3 linked regions of the Rattus norvegicus genome follow. The protein of the gene in region 2 interacts with the protein of the main gene of each other region in a biochemical or structural test. Links are inferred from orthologs where the notes say so. Each region holds a gene or a part of one and is shown on either strand. Other genes may lie near its edges. The genes, in order: Lgals3, Lgals3bp and Lgals1.

Region 1 (7,581 bases), on a different chromosome or scaffold from region 2:
GTAAGTATTAAGGTCTTTCTATGTAGTTCATCCTGACTTTGAACTTAGGATCCTCCTGCCTCAGCACCTCAAGTGTTGGCTGTGGTGCCTGTGGGTTTTTGCTGTTGTTTGTTTGTTTGTTTCCAACAACAAATAAAACAGCAGTAAAACAGCCAAGCAAAGGCCAGTCAGGCGGCCTGAGGCAGCTGCCTTCAAGATACTGCCAAACAGGTTTGCCTTACACGGATTGGTCACGGGGCTGGTTTGCAGACGTACCCTGTTTCCTCCAGCTCTTGCTCCTGTGCCACACCTATCAAACCACAGGATGCATGAAACCTGCCCCCCTTTTCAGCAGATTCCCTCAGAATGCAGCAGAGAGCAGCTGTGGTTTGGAAACGTTCCTTTCTTAGGGCGCTGGCGATTAAATTAACAGCAATTGGCATATTTGGCAAAGGCTAGCACTAAGGCACGAAACAATGCAAGCAGCCACAGGGAGGGCAGCTTTGGACGGGAATGAGATCGATCAGAGCTCAGAACGACTGCAGCCATCTTGCTGCCATGAGAATCACCTGAACATGGGGTTGGGGATTTAGCTCAGTGGTAGAGCGCTTGCCTAGCAAGCACAAGGCCCTGGGTTCGGTCCCCAGCTCCGGGAAAAAAAGGGGGAAAAAAAAAAAAAAAGAAAGAGAATCACCTGAACCTAATACATAATCAGACTCTCTTCTGACTTCATTTTGCCCATCTGTGATAGTTTACTCAGTTATCCCGAGAAATAACATGATTAGGTGAGCACCGTGTCCATCATGCCTGTGAGCGCAGCATTCTGTAGCCTGAGAGTTTGAGGTCAGCCTGGACCACATACCAAGCTCCAGGGTCTCATTCCAGCCTTGATCACTTACAGCAACCCCCCTTCCTCAGCCTCCCAGGGACTGGCATCAAAGGCAGGACCCGCAGTTCCTGGCTTCAGATTTTTTCTTAAGAAAATAAAGCCTAGGCTGGGCATAGTGGTACACAGCACCCAGAAGGCAGAGGCAGGCAGATTTCTGTGAGTTTGAGGCCAGTCTGGTTTACAGAGCGAGTTCCGGACCAGCCAACGCTACATTGTGAGATCCTGTTAGGAAGTGGTTTTGAAGCTCAAAGTGGACAGAGAACTTAGCACTTCTGATTAAACCTTTCCCCACCCCTTCAGCAATATCTCTGGCTTCAAGCCGTTAGATGCCGGTGGCACACTGCCCTGTAACTTGTGACAACCCAAAATGTTTTCAAAGGTGGGAAAAATCTCTAAGGCCAAAAATCACCTCTGGTTGAATTGAAGACTACCAATTCAGGCTGTCAGTGTCTATCCCTAGATAAACTTACATACAAGGGGCCATAAAAACCAACAAGGAATTTTAAAGTAGCGAAGGTTACCAGGGAGGATGGTCACCACCTGCCACCTCAAGTCTAGGGGGGGCTGAGGTAAGAGGAGCAGAAATGTGGAGCCTGTCTAAGCTGCACAAGCAGACAAACAAGAGCAATCCTCTGCTGGGCATGGTGCCACACACCTCTATCTTAGGCTGAGGCAGGAGGATTGACTTTACCGTTAACCTAGGCCACAGAGCAAGACTGTCTCTAAAAACTAACCAACGAGCACTTCCCCATAAAGAAACCCTTTTCCCCTCTTAAGTACGCTTCAGTTTTAGTTTGTTTTTTGTTTGTTTGTTTGTTTGTTTTTTTCTTGGAGCTGAGGACCAATATGCTTCAGTTTTGTTTTGTTTTGTTTTGTTTTGTTTTGATTCTTTTTTTCGGAGCTGGGGACCGAACCCAGGGCCTTGTGCTTCCTAGGCAAGCGCTCTACCACTGAGCTAAATCCCCAACCCCTGCTTCAATTTTAAGAGACTTGAAGATTTACAAGTTAAACTCTTAGGTCTGAAGGGTCAAATCACTGTTAAATAATATGTCACTCAAAAGAGCCTACATGGGAAAACAAACAAACAATCGAACTTTCCCATTCTCCTCAAAAGGTGCTCTATTAACAGAACACCAGTCAAATTCTGTTTAAAGAGTGATACATCTAGAAACGCTAAGAGATACTGTGCAAAGCCTCTGATCAAGGCTGGCTGGCTCCATCTTCCAATCTGACCAAATGAAATCCCAAAGGCAGCAGATTTCACTGTGACTCACGTGGGCCTTTGGATGATGTCAGGGTAACGACGCCCTCCCTGCACTGTGATTTTCAGTTCCCAGAGAACTTTCACTGAGCTGTTCTTTTGTTAGCAATCTGGTAACGCTGGCTGGAGAGAAAATATTCCCACTGTGAAGTGAGGAATCCGAGAGCTCATTCAGTGGCCCAAAGCATTGGCATCCTGGGGACAAGAGCCCAAGTTTCCTGACCCTAACTCAAGTCTGACCTATATTTGTTTAAAACTGTACATTTTTGATATTTTAAAATAGAATCCTTGGAACTTTTTAGTTACATCCCTGAAAATTCAGCTTGTTGGTTCACCCAGAGCGACACGACTGAAATAGTAAACAGATTTAAAATAAAAAGGAGCTCTGGGCAGACACTGACTCGTGAGTCATTCACTCAGTGACTCGTGAGTCATTCACTCAGTGAGTCAATACACGGGCTGCTGGGTATAGAATGCTTTTGCACACAGCCACATTGTTAAGAAAAACCACATTTTAACCAATACACTGCATTTTTCCAAAAAAAAAAGTATTCATTGTTTTTAGTTAGAATTTTCTTTACAGTATTTACTTCTCAAATATAGATTTTTTTTAAATTGAAGTGTATCTGTGTGTGTGTTTGTCTCTCTGTGTGTGTCTGTCTCTCTGTGTGTGTTTGTCTCTCTGTGTGTGTCTGTCTCTGTGTGTCTGAGGGGTGTGTGTCTGTCTGTCTCTCTGTGTGTGTCTGAGGGGTGTGTGTGTGTGTGTGTGTGTGTGTGTGTGTGTGGTGTTGTGAATGTGTGTGCAGTGTCTGTTGTAGCGAAGACTTAGATTTTGGCTACTGAGGGTGCTGGGCAAATAGGCACCCGAATCGTCAATAAGACTGACCTAGGACACGAGTTCACTGGCAAGAAGTAAGAAGCTTGTTTATTTATTTCAAGGCAGGTCTGTCTTACTCTTTGGCCCCGGCTGGCTTGGAATTCTACATGTAGTCTACACTGGCCTCGAACTTGAGATTCTTTGAGTTCTGCTTCCTGAATGTTGGGATTATAGGCGCTCACTCCCACACCCACCTGAGGAAAGGTTCTTTGGAAAGCATCTGTGCAGACCCAGGAGGCAGAGGCAGGTGGGTATCGTAAGTCCAGGCCTGCCTGATGTATGAAGTTCCAGCCAGTGCTACTTGTGAGACCCCCATCTTGAAAAATGATAAACCAACACTTTTGACCCAGTGAACTCTCTCACTGATTGAGAACCCTCGAGCCAATCCTCAAGCAATTCTCTACCCCTTCTGCTTTGTGTACAATTTAGTGAGCTGTCCATTAAACACTTCTAAGCATAGGCCTGAAAGACCCCATCAGAGTCCTCTCCAGAATATGGAATGAGTGCAGATTTCAAACCAAACTCCTAAACATTGTGAATTTAGGAAGCTAGTCCCCATCAAAGAGAAGTGTGACTATCTTAGGAAAAGAGTCTAGGGTAAAGATGGCCACATCTATAATCCCAGCACTCAGGAAACCATGGTAGAGAGAGTGCCATAGGTTCAAGGCCAACCTGAGCTCTGAACTGAGTGTGAAGCCAAGCAAGGCTATATTGTAAGACCCTATCTTGAGAAACAAGCAAAACAAAGCAAAAAGTATCAGTGACCAAGAGGACAATTGCTAGGTGTGGTTGTACTGGCCTGGAAAATCACAAGTTCTAAACCAGCCTAGACCACGTAGGAAGACCTTGTCTGAACAAAAAATTCTTTCAGTCTCAAGGTCTTGACCTGCACCACCCCCACACCAAAGGCTATTGTTGCAGAAAAGCAAGCTTTTCGTTATTAAACGTCAATATTTAGGGAAACAGTTGGGGGTGGTAGTTTAACATCGTTGGTCCCTGCACTTAGGACACTGAGACAGGATTGAAAATTGAAAGCCAGCCTGGGCTATGTAGTGAATTGCAGACCTGCCTAGGCTGCAGTGGCATCCTGCCTCCCTGTGATGGTTTGTAAAAGCTCAGCCGGGGAGTGGCACTATTAGAAGGTATGGCCCTGTTGGAGTAGGTGTGGCACTGTGGGTGTGGGCTTTATGACCCTCGTCCTAGCTGCCATGCTCCCGCCTTGATGATAATGGACTGCGTCCCAATTGAATGCTGTTCTTCTAAGAGTTGCCTTGGTCATGGTGTCTGTTCACAGCAGTAAAACCCTAACTAATACACTCTCCCTTCCCCTCCAACCCCCCCTAAAGTAAATAAATAAAAATAAGGAAGTATAAACTTGAAGCAAACAACTTGGAATGTTAGAAATTGGTGAGTTTTTGTACATTGTGATTCCTGTTGTTTTTCTCAGAATTAGCCGGGTCACTAAGTCCAATTGTTATCATCCAGAAACCCTACTCTCCAGGGATTGCTTTACTAATATTCTAGTTTCTAAAAATAGGGGTCACTTGCTTCCTACTAGGGTTAGCCTAAACCACAGCCGCGATTCCCCCATCATCGATTTCCCGCATTCCTGTTGGAGTAACAGATAATTCGGGATAAATGCAACTTTCGAAAGCCTCTAGCTTCTGCATTCTGAAACAAACACCACCACACCCAAGACTTCCTCCACCCAGACCTAGAGTTTATTGCACAAATATGCACCGGTCAGGGATAAGTCACTTGGCTTACAACGAATTTTAGAGGTTACTGTAGTTCTCCATCCCGGCACATGCGCACTAGAGCCTGGACAGTGTGTGTGGTCAGTATCTAGGGAGTGGCTGTAGCTCCTACCTCCGCTGAACCTGACTCACCGAAGGAGCCTGCTGGCCTGAAAGCAGGGCAATGTCTGCCGAGTCCTCAAACTCCCACCCGCAACGTGCCAAGAGTGGCACCTGATTCCTATGGCCAAGCTAGGGGCAACCGCTTGGAGCCAGCTACAAGGTGGATCTCCGTAGGTTGTGGTTCACTCGAGCTCAGGGCTTCGAAGGCGTGCCCGGGGCCCGCTGGCATCCTGCCGTGCCAAAGAGAGTTAGTGTGTTAGGTCGTGACTAACTCTCTCCGAGAGTTACCCGCAGGAGAACCAGGGCGGTGGACCGGCACCTGGGACCCTGAGGTCACCTCCCGGGCTGCAGAGCCTGGGTCCTCCATCTCCCGCGAGCCCAGCCCTTTCTCGGTGCACCGTGCAGCACCGGTCCCCTCGCCCCGTCGCCCCGCGCCGCTCACCTGGTTAGTGCTCCTCCTGCCGCTCCGCTAGCTGTTAGAGCAGGGCGGTGGCTCGGCGGCTTCTAGTACACTTTTGCCCGGGCCCGCCCTCCTGGGGCGGGGCAGCATCCCTCGCCCTGCAGGCGCCTGGCTGGACCGCACCCTGCGGACCCCGGAGCTTCCCCGTGGTGGACAGGGACACACCCGCCAGCCTATGTCCCTCACCTGTGCCGGACAGTGGACCCTGGCTGTCCACACCCAAACTCTCACACTCACCCGATTCCCTCGTCTGAAACTGCCCCTCATGGTCTCATCCTGCCCCTATTCCCTTCACCGGAAGCCTTCCCTAGAAATGTGCAGTGACTTTGAGTGTGAGGGGAGGGAGGACCAGGTGTCCCTGACACATCTGAGATGTAAGAGGCGCCTCCCCCCCAAGATGTTTTCTCAAAGATTATAGGAGAGTACAGCACGACAAAGTTAAATCAAGGGAACAGGGTGTAGCTCGGTCTGTATGAAAAGTTTTTACAAGAAACAGCCGCTTTTGCAACAAGGCTGATAACCAGTTCGGAAGCATTTATATAGATAAAAACTGAGTGACGTTGTTAAGAATATTCAAGATAATGTTCCCCCGGTTTCAGATAGCATCAGCTAACATCCACCAAATGGGTATGCACCCCATCCTGTGCCTAGGGCTTTAATACGTTTATGGATTTGGCATTATTTTAATCCTATTAGGTCCAAAGCAGTCCCCGAAAAATGTCAGCGCTGGTCCTAAACAGAAAGACTCTGGCCGATCAAACAGAAGCTTAGAAGTGTTTTCTGTTGACCACGAATCTCCCTTAGTCTGCCCCCAAATGTCAACTACCTTGGGCAAGGGTATCTACTTCCCTGTCAATCCCAACAGCCTGTAACAGCTCAAACCGCTCCCCCCCCTTCTTCTGACTTCTCCCCACCCCGGGGGGTGGGGGGCTGTTTGTTGCCTTGGTGGTTTGAGCCCCATTTTTCTCCACCCACAGAGTCAGTTCGGTTCAGTTTGTTTTCACTGTGCCCTTGCTCACTAACCCCATTTTAGACATGAGAAAATACGGGTACGAGAGTTAAGAATGATCCGCTAAGGCCACCTGCTGCAAAGCCTCACAGCCTTAGTTTGATCCCTGTAACTCACTCACGAGGAAAGGAGAGGACCAGCTCTTAAATGTTGTTGTCCTTTAACCCACATACATACACATGCTCACATGCATATGTGCAAAAAAAGAAATGCACTTTAAAATATTAAAACAGGTAAATAAAATTTTAGAAATAAATGAATGGGGCTGGAGAGATGGCTCAGTGGTTAAGAGCACTGACTGCTCTTCCAGAGGTCCTGAGTTCAATTCCCAGCAACCACATGGTGGCTCACAACCATCTGTAATGGGATCCGATGCCCTCTTCTGGTGTGTCTGAAGACAGGGACAGTATTGTACTCAAATAAATAAAAAGTGAATAAAAAATATTTAAAAAAAAGAAATAAATGAATGTTTTATTTTTATGTAGGTGTGGTGGTTCCTGCCCTTAACCCTCCTGGGATCTGCATGCTGTTGGGATGCAGAAACAGGCAGATACCTTCGAGTCTAAGGCCAGCCTGATCTGTATCCCTGAACTAGAGGCCACCAGGGATACACGGTATCCCTGTTTCAAAAACAAAAGTTAAAAACCCCAAGCAATCACTGGCTTATGTAAACCATGGAGCAGGCCAAGTGTTACCTGGCTCCCTGGATTTCCTGTAAGCACTAAGGTAATCAATTATTGGTGTGTTAATTGATAGTCTCAGCCAGTTTCCCACAACCAGAGGGAGTTTGCACGCAAACCCTCACTCAGCAGTGGCGCTGAGGAGGCCTGCTCTGGTCTCTAGGATAGATTTACAAGCTCTGCAGAGCCTGTTGCTGGGGATGCATTCATTGCTGCCCCCCACCCCACACACACACACGGAAGTCACTGTGTAGCTGGAGAAGCATTTGGACGCCATGAACTCTCCTCTACACAGGTAGCCTGGCAACCAATTAGTTTGAATGAGTCATGTGTGGATGATTAGCGTGTGGGTACTGAACAGGATGGGCTGAGAGGAATGTCTTTCGTCTCTTAGGAAAACACTTAAAGTCTTAGGACTGTGAATCATGAGACACTCTCTGAAGGTTAGCTAGAAGTGGACAGCCGAAAAGGTTGCTATAGAGATAAGAGATGAGTCACACACACTCTTGCCCTGTGGGTAATCGTTGGTCATTTTTAAGGATCGATTAAAGTTGTGTCTTCGTTACT
Region 2 (7,795 bases):
CCTTGTGTCTCCTCACACCACAGCCCCAGTGCCCCCTAGCTTCTACCTCTGGTGTCCGTTTCATGCTGTTCCCCAGTCAGTGGGGCCTTCCACATGCCTACACAGCTTATTCACACTCATGAGGCTCCCCCAGTCTGAGATCCTCCACCTCAGATCAACCTGTACCCAAGCCTGTCTGACCTTGTGGGATTCAATACCCCCAGGCCTCAGTTCTCCAACTCAGGACAGAGAGGCATGTCCCAGGAACAAAACTGCCCTGCCCCCCCACCCCCACCCCCCAGGAGGAAGCCACAGACGGTAGCCAGGAAGCAACACTCCCACTGGGCCTCAGGCACTGGAGATGAAGACTTTTGATGGAGTCGGTTAGTGTCCTTGAACATAGCCACCGAGAATCACTTCAGCGCCATCACACACAACCTGTGCGGAGGGGTGCTGTGCAATGTGTCAGAGCAAGTAGTAGCCGTAAGACACCGGCCCTTAGAGAGCCAACCCTCCAGCACAGTGCCATTTGTACTTGGAATACAGTCCCTTGCCCGTAATCTAGCCCTGCTAGAGAAGCTTCTCTGGCGTTAAAGTAACACGGGGGGCTCTCTTGGAGGACGCGTGCTCCCAGCCACAACCACAGTGCCACTTGCAACTTTGTTTACACGGGGGTGGGGGGCAGGGCAGCTCACCGTTGGAGCAGACCACGCCCGCGTCCTTCTCATGCCCGCAGTGGCTCACCATCCAGCCCAGGGAGCTGCAATTGGCCAGTGACGACTCGTTCCCTGTGCATTCCACCTCATCCAGCATGATTGGTCCCTTTCCTGTGGGCACAAAAGGAAAGCCAGGAGCCGCTTGGAGTAGGAACCGGACCTTTGGCGGGGACTGGGGCTGCTCACTGGGGCGCGGGAGGGGATGCCTGAGGAGCACTACTCAGGGACCTCAGCCACACCTGGCCCGAAGGCGGCTCTGCTCAGTGCTTGAGTAGCATTCTCATAGCCCAGGGCCCGGCAGACGACGTGGGCATCCAAAAGGTTCCAGAGGTTGTCGCACACTGTCCCCCACCGGCCTCTGTAGAAGATCTCCACGCGGCCCTCACTGGCTGAGGCCCCATTAACCAGGCGCATGTCTCCATCCTTTGCACCTGTCAGGAGAGTGGAGATTAGCTGGGAGGAGGGCTAGCCTGGTCTGATGCCCACTCCCCGTGTACTCAATGCTCTGTGTGCTCTCTCGTTGAGCAAAGGTCACCCCAAACAGGGTGGAGTGGCCTTCTGGAGATGCCTTGAACCACTTCAAGGGGCCCTCCCCGCACGTGCATTCGTGTGTGTGTGTGTGTGTGTGTGTGTGTGTGTGTAAGGTTACCCACTGAAGGGCTGGAGAGATGGCTCAGTGGTTAAGAGCTCCGACTGCTCTTCCAGAGGTCCTGAGTTCAGTTTCCAGCAACCACATGGTGGCTCACAACCATTTGTAATGGGATCAGAAACCTTCTTCTGGTGTGTCTGAAGACAGCTACAGTGTACTCACATACATAAAAACAAATAAAAAAAATCTTTAAAAAAAAAGGGGGGGGGCTGGAGAGATGGCTCAGAGGTTAAGAGCACTGACTGCTCTTCCAGAGGTCCTGAGTTCAATCCCCAGCAACCACATGGTGGCTCACAACCATCTGTAATGGAATCTGATGCCCTCTGCTGGTGTGTCTGAAGACAGCTACAGAGTACTTATATATAGTAAATAAAGAAATAAATCTTTAAAAAAAAAAAGGGGGGGGGTTGGGGATTTAGCTCAGTGGTAGAGCGCTTGCCTAGGAAGCATAAGGCCCTGGGTTCGGTCCCCAGCTCCGAAAAAAAAGAACCAAAAAAAAAAAAAAAAAGTTACCCACTGAAGAAGAGTGAAAACTCTGATGAGCCCACAGAGGCCATGGTCTATCTAGCTCTCATCTCTGGGTCTTTTTCTCCAAGAGGACACCTTGGCTCTCAGCCTACTGAGTGAACTTGGGGGGGGGGGGAGAGGCTCTTTCCTGGCTCTCTGAAACGCTGGTATGAAGGGGAAGGTGGGTCCTGGGTTCCTAGACACAGGCAGAGAGCAGATTAACCTCGGCTTACGATGGGTGATGTCTTGACACCCCAGTGCCACCTGTCTCATGGCCTCTGGACTGTCCCCACTCAGCAACAGGACATTGCCATGCTGCCTGCTCCCTCCAAAGTGTGGGGACGAGGGAGCTGTGGTGTGGGGTCCCATTGTAAGAGAGGAGCGGGGTGCACAGCGCTGATATCCCAACTCGCACATACAGTTGCTACCTCATCCCTACAGTGTCTGCCTAGAGGGGACAACACTGGACTAGAGACAGTCTGCCCTCAGGCACAGGTAGCCAAGGGAGTCCTGCTCCCTGCTCTCTGGGACTCCCGTCTCTGTCCATGCCGGCTGGGTGCTTGAATTGGGGTCACCCATGCTAGAGCGAGATACTCAGCTGAGGGTCCAGGATGGGCAAGGCTTTCAGACCCATGGTGCAGTTTGTAAACTGTTCCACAGGGACTCTCTGGCATTCTAGCCTGTGACCTGAGAGCTCAAACTCCAGGACAACACAGGCTGCACTCTCCCTCCTTGGCCCACTGATGAGGTGAAAAAAGATTCCTTGGTCTCTTCTCCAACACCTGCATTTCGGGGAGGGGGCAGGGCCCATACAGGGCCACCATTCAGAATGACTGAGGATCCACATGGCAGAGAATCCTAAGACATGGTGTCTTACAGGATGCCACCTGGCTTTTCTGCAAAGATGGGGAGGGGGTGTGTGTGTGACCCACACAGAACAAGGCACCAAGGCGCACGGTCTTGACTTCTGTTTTGGACCTTTCGCTGAGCAGGACTCACCTTGAGTCCCTGGAACCAGCAAGAACACAGAGAGGAGCCACAGAAGAGCCATTGCCTGACCTGGAAGCCCAACCTGCAGCAGAAGGAACAACAAAGTTAGACTGGCCACAGCTCTCCGGAGGAGACTGGTAGTTCCATGGTCCCCTGTCAAGTTTGTGGAGGACAGGATGGTGTTGTGGGTGGTCCCTCTTCCGTAAGGCCCAGATGGCCATGAGATGACCCTTATGCAGGCCTCTCTCTCACATGCTCTATGGGACAACCTTCAGGACAGTAAGTCTCCCCAGATGAGGCAGGTGGGTTGAGGGCTCCTGGCAACGAGAACCCAGGAAATAGACAAGAGGCTATCCCTCAACGGTTGGTCTTATCTTCAGGCAGCAGCCCCCTTCGGGGTGTGCCCCAAAGGGACAAGATATGCCAGTCTGGGAGGGTGTTGTGGATGAGGTTGGAGCAGGGAACTCTCAGGAGGAAGTGACAGAGACAGTTGCAGAGGTCATGGCGTGATCTGGGGATGAGTGGGAGATGGGTCAGGGTCAACTGCCAAGGTGCTGACACACAGGGACTCAATACTAAGACTCTCTCGCCTGTCTGTAGAATGGGCCCCACCCAGGCACTTTCTCTCGGGCCCTGCATGAAGGGGGCTGACCTAGAGAGCAAAGTGCAGCAGCCCTGGTAGACTCATTCTAGTCCCGAGGGCAGTGAGGTCGGGGCTGGTAGTGGACGGTGCTGTAGAGCTCTGTCTCCTGGGCAGGAACTCAGCAACGAATCTCAAACTGTTTTGTTACTCAGACCAGGGGCCCAGAGACCAGCAGTAGAGGTTATCCCAGGATCAGTAGAAACACCAGGATTGTCCTCCACCCCAGACATTCTGTACCAGAGCAGCACGAGCAAGACCTCAGTGATCCAGGGCTCTTGTAGCCATCTTGGCAAGGGTGAAGATAGTCTAAGACAAACTCGTGCCCTTCCCTTCGGTTATCGTACTACTGAAGCAAGGACAGAACTGGAATTCCCCCTGGGAGTCTCATGCTGAAAGGAGAAAGCTGTTGCCTGGTGACAGCCGGAGGGGAAGCTTGTCTCCAGGAAATATCAGCCCAGTCTGGGATTTACAGCCCAGGCATAGGGCAGACCAGTTAGCTATACATTCCTCTATGTAAACCTCATGTTAATATCCCCTATAGACTCTGGGATGTTAATGGGGGAAGGCCACTGGACTCTTCTCAGTGTGGCTGGCGGAGTCTGGCTACCAGGGGAGCATTCTCACTATAGGCTCTGACCGCTGAACTCTATAACTCGATGATGGGTGGGAAGCTTGATCCTTAGTGCTGTGCACCCAGTCTTATCCCAAGGAGGTCTGGGTTCCGGGAAACCTGAGTCCCAGGCAAAGTGCCCTGGGTGCCCACCCCCTCCATTTACTATAAGCTGTGGTTATAGGGTTTGTCCATGCTGGGTCAGGAACTTTAGGCCTTGGGAACATTGCAGGGTATGTGGACATTTTTGTCCACTGGATGACAGGGGCTGTTTCTGCCTGACTCCTTTGTGTGGGAACTTGGGATGTGCCTGCCTATGCTGGCTCATTCAGTACCACTGTGTAGGTCTGTTTAGTCCTGGGTGAGAATCCACAGACCCAGGAGAAGGCCGAGGGATGAACTGTACCCCACTCACCCCTTCAGTTGTTCTTTCAGTGAACATCCTGCCTAACTGTTTAGAGGCTCTGCAGGTCTAGGTGTTCCTGTGTTCTGCGACCCCCCCCCCCAGAAATTATGCTGTGTAGAGCGGGGACTCACCTGGGAGCAAGAGACAGGTAGTCAGTCACCTGTCCAGGCAGCTGCTGCAGATGGTCCTGGAGCCTCCTTGCTGGCTGCAGCTCGAAGCTTTCTGTAGACTGTTCAGCTGAGAAAGGCCCCACCATGTGGTTTTCCTCAGCCTCTTCCCCGGAAATGCTTTATAAACCTAGTCTAGTTTCGATTTCCAGAAAACACATGACGGAGGCTGCCTCTGGGGTTGGCTGCAGACAAGGCTAATAGCCCTCTGCTTGCTGCTCTGCAGGGAGGATGGCAAGCACCCAAGTGCCCTGTGCTGAGCTGATAAAACAACAATGTTGCGGCTGAACAGATACATGTCCAGGCTGGCCAGGCAGGCACCCTGGGAGGGCAGCTTGGAAGGGGATGGAACAGATATATCCCCTTGCTGGCCTGGTAAGCACAGTGGGGGGCAACTTGTCCAGGCTGGCCAGGCAGGCACCCCGGTGGATGGTGAGAAGATGCTGCAAATGGGCCGGGGAGCAGAGGCTCAGGTCACACAGTGTCTGTGAACATGGATGTGGGCTGCACAATCCTTTCCTGGATCTGGGGAGGCTGGCTGTGCTCACTGCACAAACCTTCCGTGCTCAGAGCATGCTCGGAGGGAAGGTATGTGGGCCACAGAGTGGTCCTGAGGGATGGGAATCGAGATAGAAAACAGGAAGCAGGGCTAGGAGCTAGGGGTGGCTTGCTGGTTAAGAGCATTGCCTACTCTCTCGGGGGATCTGAGTTCAATTCCTGGCACCCATGTTGGTTGGCTTGGAACAGGCTTTAAGTGAACTCCATGGGATCAGACTTTGTAGGCACACACATACACCCAAGTGTGCTCATGCATGCACACACGCAGTGCACATACGTTTAAAATTTAAATCTTAAGAGGTTTCTTTAATACCTGTGGTGGCAAACACCTTCAACTGGGAGGCAGAGGTAGGTGGATCTTTGATAGTTAGAAACTAGTCTGGTTTGCGTTGTAAGTTCTAGGTTAGTCAGAGCTACGCAAAGAAAGCCTGCCTCGAAGGAAGAAAAGGAGAAAAACAAACAAACAAAAAACCCAAAACAACAACAACAACAACAAAACTAACAACAACAGAGATGGTAACCTGCAGCCAGCCAATCTTGACACTGTGAGTTTGATCCCTGGAACTCACTGCAGGAGAAAACTGACTCCTGTAAGCTGTCTTCTGATCTCTGTATGTCTACCATAGCCTGTATGTGCATGCACGTGGACACACACAGTAAATAAATGTGAAAAATTATATAAAATTCAAAGAGGACTGGGAGGTTGCTCAGTGGTTAGGAACACTTGTTCTTCTTGCAAAGAACCCAGGTTCCCTTAGGAACTCCCACATGGTTGCACACAATCACCATAACTCCAGTTCTAAGGGATACAACGCCCTCTCCTGATCTCCATGGTCACCAGGCACATATGTGGTGCACACACATCCATGCAGACAAAACTTCCAAATATATAAAATACATTAAAATTAACCTTATGATAGGTTTATACAGTGACCTAAATCCCAACAGCTCCCTGTGGCTCCCCCAGCTGCCAGCCCCATAAGGTTTACTACCTCAAGACACTCAACTCTTGAATGCTATTCAAAACGTCCGACACAAATGACCCAGGAGGCAAAGTCAGGTGACTTCAAATTGGTATAAAATCACCCTGTTCCTTTCTGATGTATGGTTCAGGAATTTACCTGCTGTGTTTCTGTCCTTGGTGTCTACTTTTTTTTTTTTTAAGGATTCATTTATTTTATGTGTGTGAGCATTTTGCCTGCAGGCAAACACACCATGTACATGTGTGCCATACACCTGTGCGTATGGTGGCCAGGGTATCAGGTTTCCTGGAGTTGGAGTTACAGACGGTTGTGAGCCGCCATGTGGGTGCTGGGAATTATACCTGGCTTCTGTGCAAGGAGTATTCCTTATCAGTTGAGCCATCTCTCCAGCACCACCTCCCAAGTGTCCTTTATTAAAACTTCTACATCAATTCTGGTCTGGCAAATCCTTTTATCCTGTGCTTTGAGCTCTTTGTCCCAGGTATGACACCAGGGAGGGAGGCCCCGAGGTCCTCTAAACCCAGATAGTAACTTGTGAGTGGATACACTGGGGTTCCATACACACCTGACTCGATAATGCGATCTCCCTCCCAATGGCCCCAGGGACCCTTTAGGGTTCAGACCACCACAGGCTCTGCCTGGCTTACACCCATTCCCCTTCCTCCACAAAGACAGACAGACAAACAAACAAACAAACAAACAAACAAACAAACAAAAAAGCAAAAGACCGGGTCTTGGTTTCTACTCGGGGAGTCCTCAGTCAGTGCAGCTCAACCTGGGCTGGCCATCTGGTGTTCAAAAGGCCCAGGGAGTTCTGGGGTAAAGCCCTTTTGGGTTCAGCAAAAGGCTTTTGGCCTCAGAGTTCAGGGGTTGGACACTCAAGGACTGGCTCCCTTGGATGTGAAGTTTCCATTGGCTATGGGGTCATTCAGTCCTGGGAAAACCACGCAGAGAGCTACAGGCAGGGATCAGCCTGACTCTGCAGATGTCCAAGCTTGTTGAACCGGGGGCTAACTTGTGGCTTCTGTCACCTTTGGCTGAGAGTGTGAGAGGGAGAGTGGAGGTGTACCCTGGAGAAGAGAAGTGGGGGGGACAGTCAGCCTACCTGGACTGCCTGCCTGGTGGCTCCAGGAATCAACAAGTCTCTTTGGTGCCTCCATCCTGGGGCAGGCCCATTAATCACCTGGAGCCCGGGACCTAGGCTTCTCCTGGGGGAAAGGATGCCAAGTTACAGAGGCTGTCACAGGGTGTGTAGTCTGTGGCAGGCCCAGTTGCTCTATGGTTCTCGGCCTTCCTAATGCTGTGACCCTTTAATACAGTTCTTCATGTGGTGGTGACCCCCACCATAAATAATCTCATGGCTACTTCTTCACTGTAATTCTGCTACTGTTGGGAATGGCAGTGCAAGGATCTGATGTGCAACCTCAAAGGGGTCATGACCCACAGGTTGGGATCTGTGATGGTTTGTTTGTATAAGCTCGGCCCAGAGAGTGGCACTATTAGAAGGTGTGGCCCTGTTGGAGTGGGTGTGTCACTGTGGGCATGAGATTTAAGACCCTCATCCTAGCTGCCTGTAGGTCAGTCTTC
Region 3 (7,868 bases), on a different chromosome or scaffold from region 2:
CATCTGGCAAATCCATACCACAGCTCAGGTGGGAGAGGGCCCCAGGAGAGGGTTAACCAGACACCAAGGAAGGTAACCTTGAAAGTCAACAAGGGGACTGTAAAACCTAAGCTCAGCTAGGTATGGTGAACTCTCACCTGTTATCGCAGGCCGGACTGCTTCAAATTCCAGACCAGCCTGGGCTACAGCATCCGATTGTCTCAAGGCAAAGGTCACCTCTGAAGGGCCACAGACCTGAGTCCTGCCCTATGGTGCCCTCAGTAAGGAAAGCAGGACTTACACGTACAGTTGCAAATGGAGAAACTGAACAAGCAGGGATGGAGGCAAAACCAGAATCTCCAGGCCCCAGTCCAGAGACTGATCCTCATACCATGCTCCTCTGTGGCCAGCCTGCTCGGACAGCACCTACAGAGAAGTGTCCTCAGGCCTCAGAGACTTCCTGGAGACACAGGCCTTCTATTCAAGTCATGACCTGTCAGGGACGTCTCCTGGAGCCCTGAGCTCTCAGCCCTTGGGTTTGCCTGCCTCACCTCTCTGGTCCTCTTCCTGGAACCCTGCCTGATGTGGGAGAGGGGCACACACAGTTGGAACTGTAGAGGAACTGGCCAGGCTGTAACTGAAGTCTGGGGAGGCCTCAGAGGGAAGACCGAAGCTGCTGTGGTTAGTTTCCCTGGTGGTTACTTGAGGGCGGGGCTGGGGATGATGGGGCAGCCCAGCCTCGCTGCAGATCTGACAGCATCTCCGCTGTGCCCTGCAGGCTCCCCTCTCCTCCCATTCTGGGTGGGCTTTCCACATCTGGAGGAAGGAGCTAGAGATGAGCCTGGGAGGGAAAGGCTGGGTAGGGCAAGGAGGATTGCTGGCCTGGCCTCCAGATGTGACTCACGATTCCTTATCTTTACGACTCTTCCAAGATGGCAGTTTCAGAAGGGGAATGGCAACATGGACTCCCTGTTGCCCTCGCCACCACCACCTGATTCCCCAGTGTGAGCTGAATACCCCTCTAGCTAACCAGAGATTTTTGGGTAGGAGAGGGGGGCTCTCATAGCCAACCAGTAGAGCTTGGCTTCTACAACCATTAAAGAAATAACTATTTAGTACAATGATCTCTTAGCACCAGTGAAGGTCTGGTTCAGTCCCCATCAAGACTGAGTTGTCACAGGCCTGAAATCCCAGAACTTGAGAGGCAGGAGCAGGAGAAACAGAGGTTTAAAGTCATCCTTAGCACAGCAAGTTGAGGCCAGGCTGTACCACATAAGACTTGTCTAGGGCTGGAGAGATGGCTCATTGGTTAAGAGCTGAGTTCAGTCCCCAGCAACTACATGGTGGCTCACAACCATCTGTAATGGGATCTGATGCCCTCTTTTGGTGTGTCTGAAGACAGTAACATACAGTGTACTCAGATACATAAAATAAGTAAATCTTTAAAAGACTCTTGTCTAAAAAGAGGCTAGGGCAGCAATGGTAAAAAATACACGGGCTGGAGAGATGGCTCAGCGGTTAAGAGCACCCGACTGCTCTTCCAGAGGTTATGAGTTCAATTCCCAGCAACCACATGGTGGCTCACAACCATCTGTAAAGAGATCCGATGCCCTCTTCTGGTGTGTCTGAAGACAGCTACAGTGTACTCATATATATGATAGATAAATAAATCTTTAAAAAAAATACAAAAGGATTAATTCAATATGGCTACCCTGTTTTTGGAGACAGGGTTTCTGTATGTAGTTCTGACTATTCTGGAACCTCAATCTGTAAACCAGGCTGCCTTTGAACTCATAAGAGATCTGCCTGTGTCTACATCCTGAATGCTGGGATTAAAAGTGTGTACCATCACTGCCTGGCTAGCTGTTTGAGCCAGTGTCTCATGTAGCAGATGGTGGCCTGGAATTCCTAATTGTCTTGCCTTAGCTTCCCAAGTGCTGGTGTTACAGGCACGAGCCACCATTGTATGTATTTTAAGTTTAAATATTGGAAGAACTGGCACAGACAGCAAGAGGTATGCATACCTGAGCAGACTGGCCTTGTAAGATGGCTCAAAGAGGTCGCATCGCTTAAGGGGACATGTGGGTTCTCGGGAGAGGGTCACTCCCGCTCCTGGGTGTGGGGGTGTGCTGTACAGAGTTACCTGGGGAACACCGGCCCTCATGTGGGGAAGCAGTTGCCCCACAAGTCTTTGCTGGGCTGGTTTGAGACAGTGACTTGTCTTTGTGCCTTTGGCTCAGAAGGGTTAGGTCAGGAAGGCTGAGTCAAGCGGAGTCTGAGCCAAAGGAAAGGAGACAGATACAAGACAAAGGCAGAGAGGGCAAACTCGCCCTTTCAGTAACCTTCTAGCGCTCGGGAGGAGTCCAGGCGTCTTGGCAAGAGCACCCTTGAAGTGCCTTGTTTTATCTCAAACCCTCCGCTCTGCTCAGTGAGCCTTCCTAAGTCTCATATCACCCCATGACTATCTGTAGCTCCCCAGGACTCTCAGGTAAACGAACACGAAAACCCTTTTCCTGGCCAATGAGACCCTTCACAATCCTTAACTCTCAGCTTTCTTCTACATGGTAAGCAGCTCATTCCCCAGGCATGGGCTTCCAGCCCCTGCTTCATATGCCCATCTTCACCCGGCCTGAGTGAGTGGCTGCCCGATGCCAACACGGTGTTATTTCTTATTTCAGCTCATAGTCAGATTCTTTCCAACCCGTGAATTCTGAGAGCAGAGACTAGGAGAGGCTCATCTTCTCTGAGGCCAGCACGGGGCTAGACACATAGTAGGTGCTCAGGAAAATAACTGCTAAATGGATGGGAAGGGATGACCATGTCTCTTCTCCAAAAATAAGAATGAGACCAAGGGTGCAAAGCTAGCACATCCTGGGCTGCCTCGAGGTCTGCCTCTCAGGCCCCAGGGATGTCACAGCCAGGCCCTGCAGTGGGGTGAAATCCAAGGTATAAGCCAAGGACATAGTCTCAGGCCTGGCGCCCAGCCCAGCCCTAGTGAGCAGCACTGAGCCGCAGCGGCAGTCCTCTGCTTCCGGGGAAAACCCGGGTGGGGCCTGTGCTTTGTGGTCCTCCTCAGCCCTCCGCAGAAGCCCACAGAAGGAGCAATAGTGAGAGCCACACCCTGGCCTGCCAGGCGGCAGCCTCTTAAGAGATTGCTTTAATGCTCTGCAGGCGGGGGTGGGGTGGGGGGTGGGGGGTGGGGGGGTGTCTATACACCCCCTTCCCCACCAGCTGCGCTGGGCCTCAGGGGCTTTCTCCCTGCTGGCCCCAGGCCCCATCCCGCCAACTCTTGAGCTTAACTCATCCTTAAACTATTTTCCACTGGCTCCCCCAATCTCTGCCACAGCACAAATCTTTTTTTAGTGGGAAGAGGGATGAAGAAGAATAAGAGGCGGCGCCTGGACCCTGAGGGAGGGACTAAGAGAGGGGCTCTCCTCTCTGACTGGTCACCTCTGCTCCAAATTGACTTTATAAATCCGTTGACTCCGCTTCTGGTGACCCCCAGCCCTGTCCTGACAGGCAATTGGCTGAATTCTCGGGGAGGGGCGGGACTCACCGGGTCTGATCCAGTTAAAAAGGTCGGAGCGGGCCTGGGGCCCATCTCTCGGGTGGAGTCTTCTGACAGCTGGTGGAGCAGGTCGCAGGAATCTCTTCGCTTCAATCATGGCCTGTGTGAGTGCGGGACCCTCTGTTCCAAGGTCTAGGGGATTGAGCAGAAGCAGATGAACACAGGGGAGTAGCCAATTGGGAAATTGCTTCTAGTCCCAGCTGTGCAGCCTTGGACAGGTGTTTTCTCTGGTCCTCACTGGCTACATCTGTAAAATGGGGGTGGCTGTCATAGTCCCCCCTGAAACTTTCAGCCTCTCTGGGTTAAGAATGTTCTGGATTTCTCTGAGTTGTGGCATGTCTTGCAAGGTCCAGTACTCTGCCACTTTGTAGTTTTCTGAGAAGTGGGAGTGGGAAGGGTGTGGCCTCCGAGGAAGAAGGAGGCAGGGGGACATTTTGTCCAAGGCCATTCACTATTCCCTCTGCTCTATTCTAGAGTCTCCTGACCCCTCCCCCGCTGCAGCTGTCCCCAATCACAGAGCCAGGGCTCAGTTGGTCACCCTCTGCTCCAGAAAACTTTTGGAGAAAAAAAAAAAAACAAAACAAAACAAACAAAAAACACCTCCTGGGCCCGAGATAGGCGGCAGGCTGGTCAGTGGAAGCTGGTCAGGTCTGAGCCGAGGAAACTGCATGCATTTGCACACACAGACACACAGGCAAGCCCTCCGGAATGGGGTTCAAATGTCAAAGAAACTCCTTACCCAAATTAACTCCTGTGCACTCACCCAGGCAGCTGCGCGCAATGCCCAGATAAATGCTGGGCTCTCTAACTTACTAAGTCCACATTGCCACTCTCAGTCTGTCCTCTCCCGCAGAGCAGGCCCGCCTCTTAGCTTCTCCGCTCTAGTTGCTGTGCCTCTGGACTGAGAGCCTTGAATCAGATTGCGGAGGTTCGGGCTGCATTCTCTCAGAGAAGCAGGGCCTTGGGCTAGTAGTCGCCTAACCCTGTCCATCAGCTAAATGAGGATTTAGGTGGTCATATGCCATCTTCCCCTCCACTCTAAGTCCAGATCCCCAAGCTGATGATGGGTGAATCTTCTAGGGCCTGTTCTGTAGGACAGCCACAAGTTTGACACCCTGCTGGGAATGGGGACTCTCTCCAACTGCAGGGATAATCAAGACTAGAACCTACACCCTATCCTGACCACCCATCCTACCTTGGGCTTCCCCTAGGGTTGGTCAGGGTATCCCAGGGTGGAAATGACCCCATTCCCACACCCCAGGCCACTGTAGGTCGCTCCTAACTCCAACCTAAACACAGCTGGGTGGTCTTGTCTACACAGGGTCTGGTCGCCAGCAACCTGAATCTCAAACCTGGGGAATGTCTCAAAGTTCGGGGAGAGCTGGCCCCGGACGCCAAGAGGTGAGATTGGAGAAAGGAATGGAGATGGCAGGGGGCGGGGTTCGCAGACCTAAAATGCGATGGGCGTGACCGGCCAGAACCGCTTCTCCCCCCCCTACCTAACCCCGCCGCGGGTTAATGGGCAGCTGCAGATGCTGCGTTTTCTGGGTGAGTCATTTCCTCGCCGGGTCTGGTCGACCGACATCGCCGTGGTCTCCCCCTCCCTCCCACCTCCTCTCTCCCCGCTGGAGTTTCTTAAACTAAAACAGCTGCTGCCTCAACTCCAGCTTGCCCCCGCCCCTTCCGAGGAGAAGGAGGGGGACGCGGGGGGGGGGGGCGAGGAGGGCGTGGTCACCCTCGTGCCTGCTGCCTGCGGCGGCCCTGCTGAAGCTCAATTTTTTTTCCCCCCCAGAGCTTTCCCCTCATTCATACCGCCTAATTTTTCAGCAGCCATGTGAGCTTGGACCAGTCACCCAAGCTTAAGAGGTCTCGACTTTTTCTCTTTTCTTTTCCAAAGACAGAGTCTGCCTTATAGCCCTGGCTATCATGGAACCTATTATGTTGACCAGGCTGGCCTCCACGGAGACCCACATGCCTCCGTCTCCTCAGAGCTAGGATTGAAAGTGTGCACCTCCGTATTCCACACCCCTAAGAGCCTAGGTTTCCTAATAAAGCCAGAGGAAAAGTGGTGGAGTAGAGAGAGCCAGGGGCCAGTTTCAAGGCGGCAGCTGCTGCTGTCTGTTGTCAGATGTTAGTAAGCTCCCGAGCCCTCTTTCCTCTTCCCACCCATACCTCCATGGTGAGCACTGTTGCCAGGCTCCGTGCAGCAAACTCCGAATTATTATTTGCTCTTTTTTCTCCACAGTGAGGGAACATCTATGGTGTGTCCCACTCTGTGCTCAGCACCAGGGACTCAGATACACAAGATGATGGGTGACAACGATCAATGTCTGGGAGAGAGAGCTCCCTTCAGGACAAGCCCTCTGACTGACAGACAGGGAAGGAAATGTGGGTCAGAGAGAATCTGCAGGGTCTAGCTCAGTTCGCATGGTGAGGCCAGAAGTAGAATCCAGGTTCCTGGCCTTCCTGTTGACTGAGTTTCACCAGGGCACATTAGTGGCCAGCTGCTGATGTTGCATTTTCTCAGTAAGCCAGCCAGGGGCTAGAGCCATGCAACACGGCTTAAAGCCCACCTGTCATCCTTAGCTTTGTGTTGAACCTGGGGAAAGACAGCAACAACCTGTGCCTACACTTCAACCCCCGCTTCAACGCCCATGGAGATGCCAACACCATTGTGTGTAACAGCAAGGATGATGGGACCTGGGGAACAGAACAACGGGAGACTGCCTTCCCTTTCCAGCCTGGGAGCATCACGGAGGTGGGTAGGACTGGGGCTGGGCAGGGCCCTGGGTGGACTGCACAATGTGGTCAGAGGCGGAGGCTGATCCGTCCTGGCTGTGTGATTACCACTGAATGGCATCCCTCTTTGAACATAATGGACCTCACCTATACAGGGGCCATCCCCAGGGCTCTGAGCTGGTCCAGGCCCCAGCTCACTGCCCTTCTCCATCCACCAGGTGTGCATCACCTTTGACCAGGCTGACCTGACCATCAAGCTGCCAGACGGGCATGAATTCAAATTCCCCAACCGCCTCAACATGGAGGCCATCAACTACATGGCGGCGGATGGTGACTTCAAGATTAAGTGTGTGGCCTTTGAGTGAAGCCAGCCAGCCCCAGCCCGTAGCCCCCAATAAAGGCAGCTGCCTCTGCTCCCTGTAACCCAGCCCTTCGTGTGTGAGTGTTTGTGTATGTCTATGTGAGGGGCCCTGCCCAACCTGGTCCATCTGCACTTCCATTCACTCCTCCACGTGTTCTTGGTCCCAGTGACCTTTCTTCTTGTGCTCTCCAGGCTAAGGCGAGCCCAGCACATAGAGGGGGCTTAGTGACCGCAGAGTGTGAACCAGTGTACCACTGCAACAGGGCAGAATGGTGGGAGGTGAACTAATGAACAGAACACAGGACTTCATTTGTTTCCATAAAGGCCAGAAAGGGCATGGTGACACATTCTTGAAATTTAGGAGGCCAGGACAGACACATCGTCGTGTGTTTGAGACCATTCCGGACAGCCTGGTCTACATACTGGAGGCAGCTGGGACTAGCTGTGCAGTTCTGTACTGCTAACTACTTGGGAGACTGAGGCAAGAGGACCACTTAGGGCTAGCTGGGGCAACATAGCATGACTTCATATAGAACGGAGGAATCTTGAACTAGGTAAGGGGCTACAACTGTTGTGTGGCCTTGTGCTTGTTAGCTGGTCTCTCTGTGCCTTAGTTTATCATTTTTATGCAGTTCTCGGGAGGGTCGTGGAGTTAAAGGAGATTTTAGTGGAAGCCAAGTTCTGCTCTGGGTACATCATGGCCAATGCCATGTGGGTAGCTTCTGGTCTCCCTCACACTACTACCTTGTTTTTGCCTACAAAGGGAAGGGGAAGAGACGGTCTCTGAGGGACAAAATGACGCACCAGCAGCTGAGGAGCACATGTGAAGCAGGCTTCCTAGTCCTATGATCCTCGGCTACATTCTTCTGCTGTCAAAGGGCAGCTAGAGGCCTAGGCTAGAAGCTGCTAACTCTGTGGCACTGAACAGATCCCCTCCCTAACAATGGGAATCCAGGATGAGGTCACAGCCCTGTAATGTGGTTGGGGGCTCTGAGTGGGTCCCTTCGGAGACGTGGGGTGAGGAATGGGATGGGAAGGCCCAGAAGCAGGTCTTCCAGAGGGCAGGTGGCTCACTGCAAGCTTGCTCCTGCCTTCCAGAGCAGTGGGTGTCTTCCCCTGCCCTCAGCTCAGGTTCTGCTGCCTCGGGATGTGGTTGTTAGCTGAGGCCTGCCCCATCCAGTGCAATTAACTGCATCAAACCGGTGGGCCACCATTGTTCAT

Evidence for each region.
Region 1: the proteins of Lgals3bp (region 2) and Lgals3 form a complex in vitro, tested with the Homo sapiens proteins (4 studies listed by BioGRID). The link is inferred for Rattus norvegicus from reciprocal best matches to the Homo sapiens genes LGALS3BP and LGALS3.
Region 3: the proteins of Lgals3bp (region 2) and Lgals1 form a complex in vitro, tested with the Homo sapiens proteins (2 studies listed by BioGRID). The link is inferred for Rattus norvegicus from reciprocal best matches to the Homo sapiens genes LGALS3BP and LGALS1.

What each region holds. Positions count from the first base shown.
Region 1 is NC_086033.1:23,097,557-23,105,137, reverse strand, and holds the start of Lgals3 (galectin-3), read right to left. Parts: upstream 5,096-7,581; 5' UTR 4,896-5,095; intron 1-4,895. UniProt on the Homo sapiens protein: Galactose-specific lectin which binds IgE. May mediate with the alpha-3, beta-1 integrin the stimulation by CSPG4 of endothelial cells migration.
Region 2 is NC_086028.1:104,123,083-104,130,877, forward strand, and holds the start of Lgals3bp (galectin-3-binding protein precursor), read right to left. Parts: upstream 4,767-7,795; 5' UTR 4,632-4,766; intron 2,924-4,631; 5' UTR 2,903-2,923; coding exon 2,851-2,902; intron 1,127-2,850; coding exon 935-1,126; intron 807-934; coding exon 675-806; intron 1-674.
Region 3 is NC_086025.1:112,362,089-112,369,956, forward strand, and holds Lgals1 (galectin-1), read left to right. Parts: upstream 1-3,606; 5' UTR 3,607-3,642; coding exon 3,643-3,651; intron 3,652-4,868; coding exon 4,869-4,948; intron 4,949-6,133; coding exon 6,134-6,305; intron 6,306-6,504; coding exon 6,505-6,651; 3' UTR 6,652-6,713; downstream 6,714-7,868. UniProt on the Homo sapiens protein: Lectin that binds beta-galactoside and a wide array of complex carbohydrates. Plays a role in regulating apoptosis, cell proliferation and cell differentiation. Inhibits CD45 protein phosphatase activity and therefore the dephosphorylation of Lyn kinase.